Caenorhabditis elegans: one gene and its partner. The protein of the gene in region 1 interacts with the protein of each later gene in a biochemical or structural test. Each region holds a gene or a part of one and is shown on either strand. Other genes may lie near its edges.

Evidence for each region.
Region 2: of the proteins of gsk-3 (region 1) and skn-1, one has a biochemical effect on the other in vitro, tested with the Caenorhabditis elegans proteins (2 studies listed by BioGRID).

What each region holds. Positions count from the first base shown.
Region 1 is NC_003279.8:12,816,532-12,826,586, forward strand, and holds gsk-3 (Glycogen synthase kinase-3), read left to right. Parts: upstream 1-2,684; 5' UTR 2,685-2,830; coding exon 2,831-2,923; intron 2,924-4,003; coding exon 4,004-4,272; intron 4,273-5,118; coding exon 5,119-5,695; intron 5,696-7,587; exon of another isoform or gene 7,588-7,641; intron 7,642-7,984; coding exon 7,985-8,134; 3' UTR 8,135-9,071; downstream 9,072-10,055. Other genes in the region: nhx-8 (Sodium/hydrogen exchanger), read left to right, coding at 9,261-9,263.
Region 2 is NC_003282.8:5,656,116-5,662,012, forward strand, and holds the start of skn-1 (Protein skinhead-1), read right to left. Parts: upstream 4,270-5,897; coding exon 4,141-4,269; intron 1,451-4,140; exon of another isoform or gene 1,301-1,450; intron 1,256-1,300; exon of another isoform or gene 1,203-1,255; intron 1-1,202. Other genes in the region: bec-1 (Beclin homolog), read right to left, coding at 5,225-5,410. UniProt on the Caenorhabditis elegans protein: Transcription factor. Required to specify the fate of ventral blastomeres in the early embryo, and postembryonically for the development of the intestine. Directly regulates expression of zygotically expressed med-1 and med-2 to direct mesendoderm development.

The sequences.
Region 1 (10,055 bases):
TTTTCGAAAAAAAAAATTCAAACGTTAATGAAATTTTGAGGAAATTTTTCTTTAAATTAAATATTACTTTCTCGGTTTTTTTTCCTGGCATTTTTTGTAACCACCACGAATTTTCTGAAATTTCATCGAAAATTCCGGGGTTTTTTCTTAAATATACCTACAAATGTCATAGAATTTGAACGTTGAAAATGAAAATTGCGATTTTTAACCTGAGAACTAGATTTCGGGTCTCGGCACGAAAAAAATTGTTTATCTACCGTACTCAGGGACTCTACCGTACCCGTAACTGTAGCCAAAGACTCAGAAAATCACAATTCTAGAATTTTTCGGAGGGGTCGTGACGAGACCCACTGAGAATGTGAGCGTGTTCCTTTAAAGTATCGTTTCTATTATTTGCGAATATACGATATAATTTCCGGCAAATCGGCAAATTGCCGGAATTGAAAATTTCTGGCAAATCGGCAAACCGGCAATTTACCGATAATTTCCGATGTACCGAAAAAACGGCAATTGCCGAAAATTTTTGGAAAATTGCGGATTCGCACATTTTTTTTGGAAATTTCAGAATTTAAATTTTAATCGGCAAAATTGTTCCCATTCTGTGAATGTTCCTATATCTATTTTGAACAGTAAGCAAATTCTATGAAAATACTTAAAGAAAACGGGAAAAAATTTCAAAACGGCACATTTCCGGCAAACGGCAAATCGGCAAATTACCGAGAATGAAAAATTCCGGCAAATCCGCAAACCGGCAAGTTCGCAAAAAAAATTGCCAAATTTCCGTCCACCCTTAATTGGACATTCCCGACATTGCCGAATTTCAACATTTCCGATACAAAAATAAATATAAAATCAGTATAGAATGAAAATAGAAACCATGGGAACATTGAATATGCTTATTTCCACATTGATAGCGCATTTCTTCTTCTTCTTTTTTCTTTTTCATTTCCTTTTTCTTCTCCATCTCACCATATTTTTGCCCATTTCCTCCATCAGACACGCGCTCGCGCTCACTCGCTCACCACACTCAATTTTAGCTGTTTTTCCTTCTTTTCCACCCCCTCATATTGACTGACACATATATATTATATATATATATATATATAAAGATACATATATGCAAATTGATGTTCGGCAAATTGACATTGTGCAATTTGCCGAACATGAAAATTTCCGGCAAACTGGCAAACCGGCAGTTTCCCGGAAAACAATTTTCCGAACGACAATTGCCAGTTTTCCGGTATATATATTTATATATTCCCTATTACGATCAATATAGAATCCTGTTTAGCCAAAATCTTTTTTGATTTTTCCCAAGGAACAACATTTTAAAAAAATACGTACCTTTTTATTGCCACGAAATTTAATTGGAAAAAATCAATTTTGAAATAAAATGTATTTTTGTATTTATATAAAAAGCAATTCTATTTATTTTTAAAACGTGTTGGATTAGTTTTTTAAAATAAAAAAAACAACACCGAAATTTAGTCATTTTTCGTTCAATCGTTAGTGAGAAGCGGTGAGTTTTGGCGATTTTGAGCATTTTCCGTTGAAAATATGAGTAATTTCCTATTAAACTGGTTATTTCGATCGCGCTAGTGAAATTTCTTGAAATTGTGTAGCAAAATGGGCTTACATGCTATTTTAAGATGAGCAATTGAAGCATTTTATTTTGATTCAGTCAGAATTTTGAAATACTTACGAAAATAGCAATTATATCAATTCCAAATCAAAAAATATGGTACTTATGGGTTTCGTTCCCCCCAAAATGATTTCCATATTTTCTAATTGATACGTGAACTTTTTTTTCATTCCCAGGCTTAGGGAAATGATTTTCTAAGCCTTGTAAAAATGAAAACAGTATTAAAATAAACAATAACGTGTGGATTAAAATTAAAAAGGTAGTGTTGAATAATTAAAAATCATTTTGGGGGGAACGAAACCCATAAGTACCAAAAATATAGTTTCTTCTAGAAATATATTTTTTATTGCCGCTAAATTTAGAAAAATTCAATTTCGAATGAATATGTATTTATTTATTTTGAAAAAAACGTACATTAAAACGTGTCGGATTAGATTTTACTTCCCTTTTTTTAATTTTAAAATTCAAAAAATTCATTTCTATATTTAAAAATTTGGCAGTTTTGGCGTTTCCCTTTTATTACAGTGAGTTAGCCAACTTTTTCGAGCTAATAACATTACATTAAGCTTTAGAAAAAACTTTAGAAGTTTTGAGAAATACTACTTTTAAAACTTCGATTTTTTCAATTTTTGGCTAAATTCTATTCTAGTTTGAATATCCTCCAAAATGAGAGCTCCCCTACGACTATTTTGGATTTTTTGAAGCGAATCCTAAAAAAATGGGCTGAAAATGCCAAAAATCGTCTAATTTCCAGTAAAGTTTTTTGGCGAAATCCATATTTAACAGCTCTTTAATAGTCCTACAAATTCGACAAATTGCCGATTCGTCGGAAATTGGCCGGTTTACCGATTTGCCAGAAAAAGTCGTTTGCCGCCCACCCCTGTTCCCACTTTGGCTAGGAATTCCTAAAAGTTTATCGAATTTTGAAATGTTACTCCATTTCACCTCATATTTGCCTTAAATATCACCCATTTTTATACGTTTCCTCGTATTTTTCAAACCCAACGCCCAAATGAAATATTTTATTATTTTTTATTTTCAGGTGAATAGCCTCATTCTCTCCGTTTTCCCTCTCAAAAAACCACATCATATCCTCATCATCTAATCTCTGGCTCTTCTCATTTATTGGACAGAGCTCATATATACACACACACACACAAGAATCAAATCAATCAGTAGTGTGGTGTGATGAATAAGCAGTTACTATCGTGCTCGCTGAAAAGCGGAAAACAAGTGACGATGGTCGTCGCGTCAGTCGCCACGGATGGTGTTGATCAGCAGGTTGGTTTTGAGTGAGGAAATTTTAATTTTCTCGGAGAAATTTGGATGAAAAGAAGTTGGATATCAGAGGTGGGCGGGTATTTTTTTCGGATATTTTCTAATAATGAATTTATCAATAAGTATTGATGTAGTTATTCTGGAAAAAATGTATCCGAACAAAAGAGTAACTATTAAGCAACATTTTAATATGATAAAACCTAAAAAAATTCTACAAGTTTTCTGTATAAACGATATGCAAGTCCATTATCCGATATCCGTAATATCCGTAATATCCGATTGCTTAATAGTTACTCTTTTGTTCGGATACATTTCTTCCAGAATAACTACATCAATACTTATTGATAAATTCATTATTAGAAAATATCCGAAAAAATATCCGCCCACCTCTGGTGGAAATGCATGAAAATGAGGATTTTCACAAAAAAAAACTCTTTGGAAGTGATACAAATATATTTTTCGATATTTAGTACAACACAATAAATGAGTTATTACGTGTTTATCCACAGATAAGAAAAATCGCCATATCTGCCGCGCAAATGAACCCGCGGGAAGAGACAAAACTACTGTAGTTTTTAACCAATTTGTGTAGATTTACGAGCTATTGCGTCATCGTTGAATTTAATTTTGAGCCGCAATTTTTAATTTTCAGGCGTGTTTCACTCTTTTTTATATTGAAATTTATCTATTTATTGAATAAATCTTAAAAGAAAACACAAAAAAATTAGAAAAACGCCTGCAAATTAAATTCAACGATGACGCAATAGCTCGTAAATCTACACAAATTGGTTAAAAACTACAGTAGTTTTATCTCTTCCCGCGGGTTCATTTGCGCGGCAGATATGGCGATTTTTCTCATCTGTGGATAAACACGTAATAAATAGGTTGACAAAATTGTTCTCCTTTTCCTCGTGGAGTACACGATTTTACTCAAGCACTTAAAATATCAATTTCTTCAAAAAAAAAAAAAGGAAATTTGCTGGAAAACTAGCTGATAAAATGTGAAAAAATTATTATTAAAAAATCTCCAAACGAAAAAAAACACTGTAATTCAAATTTTAATTAAAAAAAAATGTATTGTAGGTTGAAATCTCGTACTACGATCAGAAAGTGATTGGAAATGGATCATTCGGAGTGGTATTCCTTGCCAAACTCTCTACAACAAATGAAATGGTTGCAATCAAGAAAGTTCTTCAGGACAAACGATTCAAGAATCGTGAACTACAGATTATGCGAAAATTGAATCATCCAAATATCGTGAAGCTCAAATACTTTTTCTATTCGAGCGGCGAGAAGAAGGATGAACTCTACTTGAATTTGATTCTCGAATATGTTCCTGAAACTGTCTACAGGTTATTTTTATTAGGATTTTTAAAAATTTCTGGAAAATTTCAGTTTTTAGCGGAATTTTTTTGTTCAAAAATAAAGAGAATTTCTTATTTAAAAATTGAAAAAAAAAATTTTTTTGGAAATTTTTAAATAAAAATTGCGAATTTCTTTTTTAAAGATATTTTTAAAAATTTTGAAAAACAATAGTAGAAATTCAATAAAAAGCTGAATTTTTATGTTTTTTTTTGTGAAAAACTGTTTAAAAATGATGTTAATGTAAATTTTTAAAGGAAATAATCAAAAAATGCCTGATTTTTTTAACCTTTTTTGTTAATTTCTGACAAAAATTCATGGAAATTTGATTTTCCGTCGATTTTGTGAAATTTTGGTTCGAAAATTGAATTTTTTCGCTAAATTTTGATTTTTTAAGATAAAAATTGATTTTTCCCGAATTCCAGCGCTACAGGGCGATTTCAAGCAGATTTCTTTGCAACATTTTTGACTAAAATGCACTATTTCACGAATTTCCTCCTGAAATTTATGTAAAAAGCTATTTAAAAGTTCAAAAATGCGTTCCAAACGTATAGAAAGGCTACAAACTACATGGCTGATAGCTTGGAATTTAGAAAATACGATTTTAAAACAAAAAAACTTGAAATTTTGCAAAATTCTTTACAAAATTGAAAATATTCTATTTTTTTATAATTTTGAATTTTCAAGTTGAAAACCTAGAAATTTTTTTTTGACAATTTTTGACTAAAATTTATGGAAAAAATTATGTAAAAATTGAAAAAATTTAGAAAAATCGATTTTTAAACAAAAAAACTTGATGTTTTGCGAAATTTATTTGAAATTTTTAATTTTTGCAGAGTTGCCCGGCACTATTCGAAGCAGCGACAACAAATTCCAATGATTTATGTCAAATTGTACATGTATCAGCTTCTCCGTTCATTGGCCTACATTCATAGCATTGGAATCTGTCACCGTGACATTAAGCCTCAGAATTTGCTCATTGACCCGGAAAGCGGAGTGCTTAAGCTCTGTGATTTTGGATCTGCCAAATATTTGGTTCGCAATGAGCCAAACGTCTCGTACATTTGCTCGCGATATTATCGTGCTCCGGAGCTCATTTTCGGCGCTACAAACTACACGAACTCGATTGACGTTTGGTCGGCTGGAACTGTAATGGCAGAGCTTCTTCTCGGCCAACCAATTTTCCCTGGTGACTCTGGAGTTGATCAACTCGTTGAAATTATTAAAGTTCTTGGAACACCGACTCGTGAACAAATTCAAAGTATGAATCCGAACTACAAGGAATTCAAATTTCCACAGATAAAGGCACATCCATGGAATAAGGTATTCCGTGTACACACGCCTGCTGAAGCGATTGATCTCATTTCGAAGATTATCGAGTATACGCCGACGTCTCGGCCAACACCTCAAGCGGTGAGTTTTTTGGGGGTTTTTGTAGAAAAAAGGCCGAAAAATGAATTAAAAATGTTTTCCCAACACTAAATTGCTGAAAATCGACTCTTTTTTCAACTAAAAACCTTTTAAATTGAAAAAAATTGATTTTTTGTCATTGAAAACTTGAGAAAATTGCCCAAAAGTTTAAAAAATACTGCGAAATTCAGGAATTTTAATCATTTTGGCTATTTTACAATTTTATGAGAAAAATCTCTAAAAATTAATGGAAGTTTGAATTTTTCGACTTTTTATCGAGATAATTAAAATGGCGAAAATTGCACAAAAAATGTCAAAAACTGATTTCCGGTAGTTTTTAACGTTTAAAAACACTTGAAAATGGAAAAACAAAACTTATATTAAAATTGTGTCAAAAAATTATTGAAATTGTCTAAAAATGGACTTTTTTTTTGTTTTTCGGTTTTGAAAGCGAATGTTCTGTAATTTTATTCTCAAAAAATGCGAATTTTTGCTCACAAAAGTTATTATGGAACACAAAATCCTTAAAAAAACATATTCGATGCGCAAAATATATCGTAGCGAAAACTACAGTAACCTTTTAAAGGACTACTGTAGCGCTGCGCTTGTGTCGATTTACGGGCTCGATTTTTATTCTGCATTTATTAATCAAAAAATGAGACAATAATACGAAGAAACGAAGGAAAATATAGAATAGATTCATATCGAAAATCAATCCCGTAAATCGCCACACGGAGCTATAGTACCCATTTAAAGGGTTACTGTAGTTTTCGCAATGAGATATTTTGCGCGTCAATTATGATGTGTAATACGCATTCTTCTCAGAATTTTCGGTTCCCGTAATATGAATGAAAAAAAAAGAGAAAGTTGAGTGTGATTTTTGAGACATTAGACAGTTGACTGAAAATTTATTTAAAAAATTTCGGCCATTCGGTCAGCTTATTTTTCCTCCATTTTGAAAATTGCAGATTTTGCAGATTTTCGATCGCTCAAAAAAAAAGCAGCCAGTTTGAAACGAAATTCAATGATTTTATCTGTATTTTTCCAAAAAAAAGTATCTTCATTGTTCACAAATTCGATCGCCCCCTCACAAAACCGCTTAGAAAGTCCACCCCGTTCGTTGGTTGCTTTTGAAAATCGCCTTAATATCTATCGTTGAAATCTTTGTTTCCTCATTGTAATTCTCCCATAGATCAAGCCATTTCCCGGTTTTTTTTCTTAGATTTCTCAAATTGGCACGAATATGGAAGATATTTATGGAAGCAGATGGGAGCATTAGATTTTTACACAAAAAAAATTGCAGAATTTTGGCTTTTTTTTCCAATTTTTGGAAAAAGATAACTTGTGAAACCGTGGTTTTTAATTTTGAAAAAAAAGCTATAAATTCAAAGTTAGTGAAATCTGAAATAGACATAAAAATTGAAAATCCCACTGAAATTTCAACTTGAATTTAACAAAATTTCAGCTAAAACTTGGAAAGAAATGTTTCTTGGAATTTTTATAGAACTCGCTGACAAGCAGTGAGCAGTAAAAAACTCGGCTCACAATTTATCCGTACTTTTATTTTTTGAAACTAGTAACTAAATGTCAACTGCAAGAATATTAGAGGCCATACTACAAATGAGATTTCCAGAAAATTATGATGTTCTCGTAATTTTAAAGATGGAGACATTTACGTGGTATGATGGTTGAAAATTAGAAAATTGGCTTGAAAACACTTTTAAATTTAGAAAAACCACAAAAAACGAGCAAAATCGAGAAAAATGAACAATTCAACTTTCGAAAACACGATTTTCCCTATTGTGACTAACTAGTATATTTTAAATTTCCATTTTGAATTTCCTCCAAAACGAGAACTTCCCGACCAATCAGCGATTCGTCCTGCCCACTTTTCAACCAATCAGATGAAGTGGGCGGAGTTCGATGTCGTTGATTGATCGATTGGGGAGTTTGCATTTTGGAGGGAATTGTCTGCGTTTTGATCTACAAAAAATGCGGGAATTTTTTCCCAGAAAAATTGTAACGTCTGCACGCTTTTAACCATGTGAAATCAGTTGAGATGTTTGCGTCTCATCTCCCGCATTTTTCGTAGATCAAATCAAAATGGGACTTTCTGACTCCACGTGGATTCAAACATGGGGAATTTGGAACTCACAATGGACAAAAATATCGATTTTGCTCGTTTTTCTGAATTTGAGACTGTATTTTGAAATTTTTGAGAGACAAAATCGCCCCCAATTCACGCTACTTTAACAATTCAACCAATATATATATGTTTTTCGTCTTTTTCAGGCCTGCCAGCACGCATTCTTTGATGAGCTCCGAAACCCGGATGCACGTCTTCCATCTGGTCGACCTCTTCCAACACTTGAGATGGACGGTCCAATGGGAACTGGTGAAGTTTCAACGACAAGCGGTGATGTGGCTGGCCCATCGGCTTAAACTTCTTTTTTTTATTTTAATATTGGTTCTGAATTTTCTCTCGAATGTTTCTTTTTTTTTCATTTTCCGTGGGATTTTTCTTTTCCATTGATTTTATACATCCATCCTCTCCTCTCTCTCTGTCTCTCTCTCTCTCCATACCTATCATCATTAAGAAAAAAATTATTATTTTTTCTTTTGAGCCCTCCCCCCCCCACCCCCCTCCATCGCCCGTATCGTCTCCATAGCAACTGTGTTGTAGAAGCATTTCCCCCCAACTCGATTGTCTGCTGCTCTTCTTTTATTTTATTTTATTGTCCCCTCAAGCTTTTTTGTCTCGAAAAACTTGAATTTTTACTCTTTTTTTTTTACCCCACCTGGCTCCCCCCTGGATTTTTCTGTGAAAATTTGGCTAAAAATTAGGTTTTCAAGGTTCCTGAAATTTTGGCTGAAAATTGGGTTTTAGGCCAAAAATTTTGGGTTTTTTAAACCTTTGGCCTAATTTTTGAGGCCCAATTTTTTAGGACTTCATCTAGGCCCAAAGGCCTGAAAAAATCCGCGACTTCTGTACATTTCCTCCCCCTCCGCCGCCGTTTTCTTTTGTAATCCCGATTTTGTGTTCCCACGCTCTCCTCTAAAGAAATTTCTAGCCAAAAATGAATTGAAAACTGCTCTCTCTCTCCCCCATATTTTCTGTCTTTTTTTCTTTTCTTTTTTTTGCTCTGTAAGTGTCTCCCCACAACGCCAATGTCCCTGTTTTTGTGGAAATTTTTTATATATTTTTTGGAAATATAGTATTTGTCCCCCCAATTCATTACATTTTAAAAATATTTTATTTTTCCCCACTCTACCACCACCACCAACTGAAATTTCACACACCATCCAAATTCTCTCCGTCTCTCTCTCTCTCTCTCATTTTATTTTCATTTTTTTTCCTGGAAATAAAAGTGGATCGATTTTTCTGAAGATTTTCGAGATAATGATCATCCCCCCGCGCGCGCATCTCCGAATAATGCCTCTTCTTTGGACATTAAACAGTCATTTATTTGTCCGATGCGCCTTTGAAGAGACGAGAAGCTTCCTTGTTAATATTTTTCATTTTGAACCGCTGGCGCTGAAATTTACTATACATTGCTACTGAACATAAATGGTGAGGCTGTGGTGGTTTTGTAGTTTGTAGTCTTTGTGACTACAAACTACGAAAATTACTTTTTTTTTCCGCTTGGAATTGGCTTTAAAATGAAAGTTTTTTTAGTTTTTGAAAATTGGAAATTTTTTTAAATTTTAGATTTTCAGAGCGAAATCGACGATTTTTTTTTCGAAAACCGGGATTTTTATGAAATTTTGCTATTTTTGCGCAAAAAATACGGTACCGGGTCTCGACACGACAATTTTTTGTCGAATACGAACAGGTGTGCGCCTTTAAAGGATACTGTAGTTTCAAACTTGTGTTGCTGCGGAGTTTTCATCGATTTTTCGGTTTTTTTTTTGGTAAAAGCATATTTAAAACTCAAATATTACAATAAAAACACTTAAACTTAAACAATTTACCGAAAGAAAGACAGAAAAATCGATAACAATTGCATAGAAACAAAAGTTTGAAGTTACAGTACTCTTTAAAGGCGCACACCTTTTCGTATTTAACAAAAACTGTCGTGTCGAGACCGGATACCGTATTTTTGGGGCGAAAATCACAATTTTTTACGTCTGGTTAATATTTAATAATTTTTACGAATTTTTCAATAAATTTACATTTTTTTCAAATTCTTTATTTTTTTAAGCGAGTTATTGTGAAAAGTTATACATTTTCTTGCAATTTTCTTTAAAAAGTACAAAAAATTGGTTTTTTTCAAGAAAAAAATTCATGGCCGAGGTTTCCATTTTCACGGCCACGTAGAAAAATTCGACTACAAACTCCAAAAAAAAAACCTTTGAAAATCTT
Region 2 (5,897 bases), on another chromosome or scaffold:
CCTACGTGACTGTTGTTAGTTCTGTACACCGTTTTTCACTCACTACAGACTGATTTTCGATGATGTCATTGGCGTTTGGCCTGGCGCCAAATTTGAATTTCAGATAAATTTTAGAGAAAGAGGACACAGGAAGTCGTTCGAATAAAAAATCAGGTTCGAATTTTCTAGAACAATAATATCAGATGTAAATAAACAATAGAAAAAATTGCGATGATGCAAAAGATTTCGCAATACTTTTCAAAAATTGAATTCTGTTTTTAAAAAAATGCTACAAGACTACCGTAAGAAGTCACTTTTTTAAAAGTTTCTTAGTTTTCAAAAAATAAAACCAAACATTTTTGCCTAGAACAGTTATGTTAAAGTGAACTATGAACTGTCTAGAGACGACTGGATCAGAACAAAAAAAGCTAGAGAGCAAACAAGAAAAGTTGGTCAAATAAACGAGAAAAGGTTTTTTTTTGAAAAATCAATAGAAGTGCTAACGGGTTACTGTAGATATACGGGTTTTTAAGGAACTTGCAGAATTGAGTCGAGAAATCTACAAAAAAACTATTGAAATTGGGAGAAAAGCGAGAATTGCGTGAAAACTAAAACAAAAGTCAGTTTCGAGTGATTGAAATGCGACAAAAAATCATGAAAAAGCGAGAAAGCTTATACGAGTGAGTGAGAATATAATTCTAGATAAGGGCAACTAAAACATTTGCCGAAAATTCGAGTTCAAACTTGCTATCAGTGAGAGTTGAGAGTGCTTGGGTCAGGTGCCTGATTGAACTGGAATTGAAAGAAAAACATACATTCAAAGGCGCCTGACAATCAACAATTCAAAAAAGAACTCCGATTTCTGGGCGGTCCAAAACCGCAAAAAAAATAAAAGACAATTGATTCCAAAAACAGTAAACACAAGAAGTTAGTTGTCGTGTTGAGGTTACCAAGTGAAAAATGGCGTCAAAAAACAGAAAGAAAGGCGATTTCCAGAGACAACGAAAGAAAACCATCGAAACAGTGCACTCGGTGTCCTTATTTCTCTAAGTTCTCTACGATTTGTGCTAACTTGCCGCCATGGAAATGATGACAAATACGAGAGAGCGCGCCGATAGAGTAGATCACAAGACGAGGAGAGATGGCTGAAACTGTAGACACGCAGGGTGTACGAGAGAATGCTGGAAAGCGCATGTCCAATGGGAAGACGCAGAGGTAAAAAAATTTTGTGACCGCCGTGTCTATTTGCCTGAACACAGATAGACACAGACTTGTGGAGATCGAAAATCGCAACTTTTTGATCCGAAATCTTGGTGCGCGGTAAATTAACGTGCGCAGAAAATTGACCAATTAAATGAAAAACTAGAAGAGAAGGCTGCTGTGGGGGCCGTAACGAAGTCAACGAAAGCTGATAAGACCAGCATTGTCGCTCGCCGCTTGCACCAAAGACGACGACTACAAAACGACTACACAACGGCAGGTGAATGTTGTAGCGAGAGGGCGAGTGCGACCGAATTGTTGCAGGCAGGTAGTAGACGGTGGGAGGTGAAAAACCGAAGATCTGGAGAATGTGTGTGTGGATGTTGATGCAATTTTTCATAGCACGTTGCCCTTAAATTCTGATGAATCCACACAGAAGTAGTACAGAGCAGGACTGTGCGGAAAAATATTTCGGCAAACGTACAAAAATGAATATAAAAATGTAGGAAAATGCTCGCTCAATCTGAAAATGATATGTATTTTTGTTGGAAAAGTTTGAAAAAGACTTTCAATTGTGCCGTCTTTTAAAAAGTTTTCAAAAAAAATTTTTTTTTCAAACCGAACGAGCATTTTCCTACATTTTAACATTAATTTTTGATTCAAAAAGTTGATATATTTTTCGAAAAAAGTTACAAGTCTAGTACAGAATACTTTGAAAAACGATTGAAACTGAAACTCACGAAACCGAGAGAACAGTTTAAAACAATTATTCAATAAACTTAATGCTTGGTGGTACTGCTGAGAATAAAAAATTTGTTTTGATTTAATTTCTTCTCAACGCCTAATTTCAAAATGCGTGCTGGTTTTCACGTTTCCAAAAATCCAAGTTTTTTTTTGGAAAGGAACCAAAAATTCAAAAATAAAGCATATCAGTTTGAAGTTTGTGCCAAGACTGATAAGAAATATATGAGAGATGCAAAAGATATCACTTGACGAGAAAAAGAAAAGATTTTCGATATTCTAAAAAAGAGAGGTTTGGGTGCACACGGAAATCGGATACATCTACAATTGAGCTACAACTGAATTATTCAAACCACCTGCGTCAGACATGCATGGGAAAATTGAATTATCCACACACCTTCTTCCCTGTTGATATGTGATCAGAATTCTTCGAAATCTTGGCTAAAAATAATTATGATACTAAACCTGCTACAAACCACGTGTTTTTATTTTTATTATTACTACAACAAAAATAAAAACAAGCGCATAATAGTCTGATATTTGGTTGAAAATCTCAATTAATCAGAACATATCCTGTTTATTTCAGGATATTATGATCAAAAATCGCGAAATTTAGAATATAGTAGTTCCGTCGGAACTCAAAGAACTCAATCTTTCTGTTTGAGTGTACTGTGAGTTTGACATCATATTTGGCTGTTTATGAATTCTCGTAGAACGTGATGTTCAGAATTATATTTCTTGACCTCAACCGTGAAAACGAATAGGTTCAGCATGTCAAATACATTGCAATTCAATTAGAATATAGTAGAAGAAAGCTTCTACTCATATTCTGTCAATAAATAATCATACTTTCAATTTTTACAAATCGAAAGCTGTGATCCGAATTTCAACTTATACCAATTCCTTGATCCATTGCGTGCAAAAACCCAACTAACCATGTCAACCGCACCCATTCACAATCAGACCACAGATATGATTCAAGTCATTTTTTCGGTTTTAAACGTCTCATTTCCAGATGATATCATCTTGCACCGAGAGCGTCAATTTAATCAAACGGTTTGATCAAACATTGTACGTGGTGGTGGAAAACCGTTGTTGATAGTCGCTGTCGGCGTAGCAGAAAAAGTTCGAAAAATCAAGAGCCTCGTGGGGTGTCTATCAGGATGGTAATGCTGCTATCAAGCTGGCATATAGGCAATCGGGGGTTTGCGATTTTGGAGCGACTCCGGCAAGATGTTTGTATAATATACATATATGGAGGACAATGTACAGACAGTAATATTTTAGGCTAAGTTTAAGATTGAAGAGATTGGAAAATATCTGAAAATCTGATGATCTGGCGGAAGAAGGATTTCGGAAGGGAACGGTCTTCTTAGCGGCTCTGAAATACAAAGATCACGCTTTCCATTGTTTTCTTGAATTTTTGAAATTCTACTTTTCAGAGGACTTCGACTTCGTCCTCTGGCATTTACGAACATAGTCGTTCCGGCATCATTATTGCAACAGAGAGAGAGAGAGAGAGACAGAATGAGCCGTGAATAGTTTCAGACAACGAGGCAACTGTGACATTCTACATGAGATAGTTGGGATTAACACGTAACAATGCGGGAGACCTAGATAACGAGAGTGATGTGACTGAAGTGATAAGAGGAGAAGGTGGTCTGATATGGAGTTTGGGAAGGAAAAGCTGTTCAAAGTAAATATGTTACGCGGTCTTTGAGAAATGATCTATAACCGGGTGTAAATAAGAAAAAATGTTTGAATTTGAACTTGAAAAATCATATTTTTGAAAACTCGACTCTCAATTGTGGTGTATTTTCCCTATTTTAGTCTACTCGAATTAATAGAAACTTCCAAGAATAATATATAGGTAGATGATGAAAAAGCTTAAAAAAGCTAAAAATAGGCTCCACTCAGATCTTGGTTATTCTTTTAGTTTTTTTTCTTGTTTCTGAAGAAATTAAGTAATCCGTGAAGAGAAAAGCCATGTTTAAGGTTAAAGCTGGAATTTTGAGCCAAAAATCTTGGGAAAAAATCTACAAATCTTAGTTAAAGTTGGATTTAGAACATGAAGAAAACAAAAATTGTAAATGCAAGTAATATTGAATCAGAATTGCAAGAGTTGACTGGAAAAGTGATACGAAAAGTCATGCTCTCCCGTGAAATGATGATATTCTTCAGGTCTTTTTACTTGATAAAACCAACAAAAAAAAAACTAACCGACACTCCATAAATTGACGTCGTCTCTTCTTCGTCGTCGGCTACCGAAGAGAAGCACTGTCTTCGTCTTCGTTTATCGTCTCGTCTCGTCGCCGACGTACTTCGCTGACGGCGTGATGAACCGCCCATCGACTGACTGGATTATGATAGATCCTGTGAGAATGAGTGGAACACTTCTCTCAACAATATTCGGACACGGACTCGCGGCTGAGTGACCAGAGTCCGATCGACGGAGGAGAAACGCGTGAACGACGACACGAGGCCTTCTCTGCAATATTTTGAGTTACAACAATTTTTTTTCTAGAATTCAGAAAACGGGAATTTTCGGAATTACAAGAACTATTCTAGAAAAAACTAGAAACTTCGTTTTTGGGGAATTGTATTGTCTACAAAAACCTACAGTATTTTTTTTCAAATTTAATTAAAGGAGGAATATAGTTTGTGGGAGGTTTTCGCTTAAAAAAAACTAAATCTGGCACAAAAGTGCCGAATTTCATAGTGATATTTATTTAAATAATTTCAAAAACGTTTATGACTGGAAAAATCGAAAAAACATTCAAATTTTCCACACATTTTGGTCGAAAATAAAAAAAAAACGGTGTTTTAGCTTTAAAAAAATCCAGAATTTAGCAAAATTTGGACCTTATTTTTCGATATTTTCAGTTATACATTTTTCGAAAATTTTGAGGCAATATTAGTAAAATCAGATTAAAATAAGTTTAGTGGTAGGAACTTGATTTCACAGTTTCAGAAAATTTTAATAATCATTAAACCAAGTAAAGCAACAAGAAAGAGAAAATAAATTAGGAAAAATTCAAATTTTAGATAACAGAATTGGTTTCAAAACCAATCAACAAAAAATAACAAAATTTCCTCCACAAGACTGCAATAAAAATCTTTACTTTTAATATATTTACATATGGTACAAGTTTGGGGAAAAGGCAGAATTCCAGCAGAAAATTTGAAAAAAAAAACTAGAAATCACAATGAAAATTGAATATTTTTTAAAGAAGCGTCCCTGAGAAATTGAAAAAAAAATTTCTAGCGTTGAAAATGTTATTCTACATTTGATCCCGTGAAATCACTAAATAGGCGATCTGAGAGCATCGCATTGAGCACACGCAGCTTTGAGATCTGTGAGCATTAGAGCCATTGCACGAGTCCATCGAACATCTGTGTTGAGTGTCATAACTGCATTGTATTTGACACCATTGTCAACCAGTGAATCAGCATGAATTTGATATGGTGGTTTGAAATTTTTGTTTCGATCCTGAAAAATGTATAAAAATTAGGGTGTTTCTGAAACCAAAAAATTATAAAATCGATCTTTATACCGGAAAATGAATATTGTAAATCCATTCTTAACGAGATGTGAAATTTTACAGTTTTGCTCCAAAAATACTTTAAAAAACCCGATTTACTCAAACTCATAAGGGATCGTGCGCCTTTAAGGCCTACGGTATTTCCCAACTCCTCAAGTGTTCACCCAATTATTTAAATAAAATTTATTAAAAAACATGTAAAAACACGCCAAATTTCGTAGAAACGGGCGGAAAACTAGGAAAAATCACTCTTTTTCACTAGTTTCTTTCAGATTTGGGTTGGTTTTATACCTTTTTAACGTAAATCGGTTGAAAAATGGGAGTTGGGAACTACAGTAGGCCTTAAAGGTGCACGATTTTTTTGAAGTTCAGAAAATCTGTCTATTTTTGTATTTTTGAAGCAGAAATCGCATAAACTTTTGCAAATGGGTAATA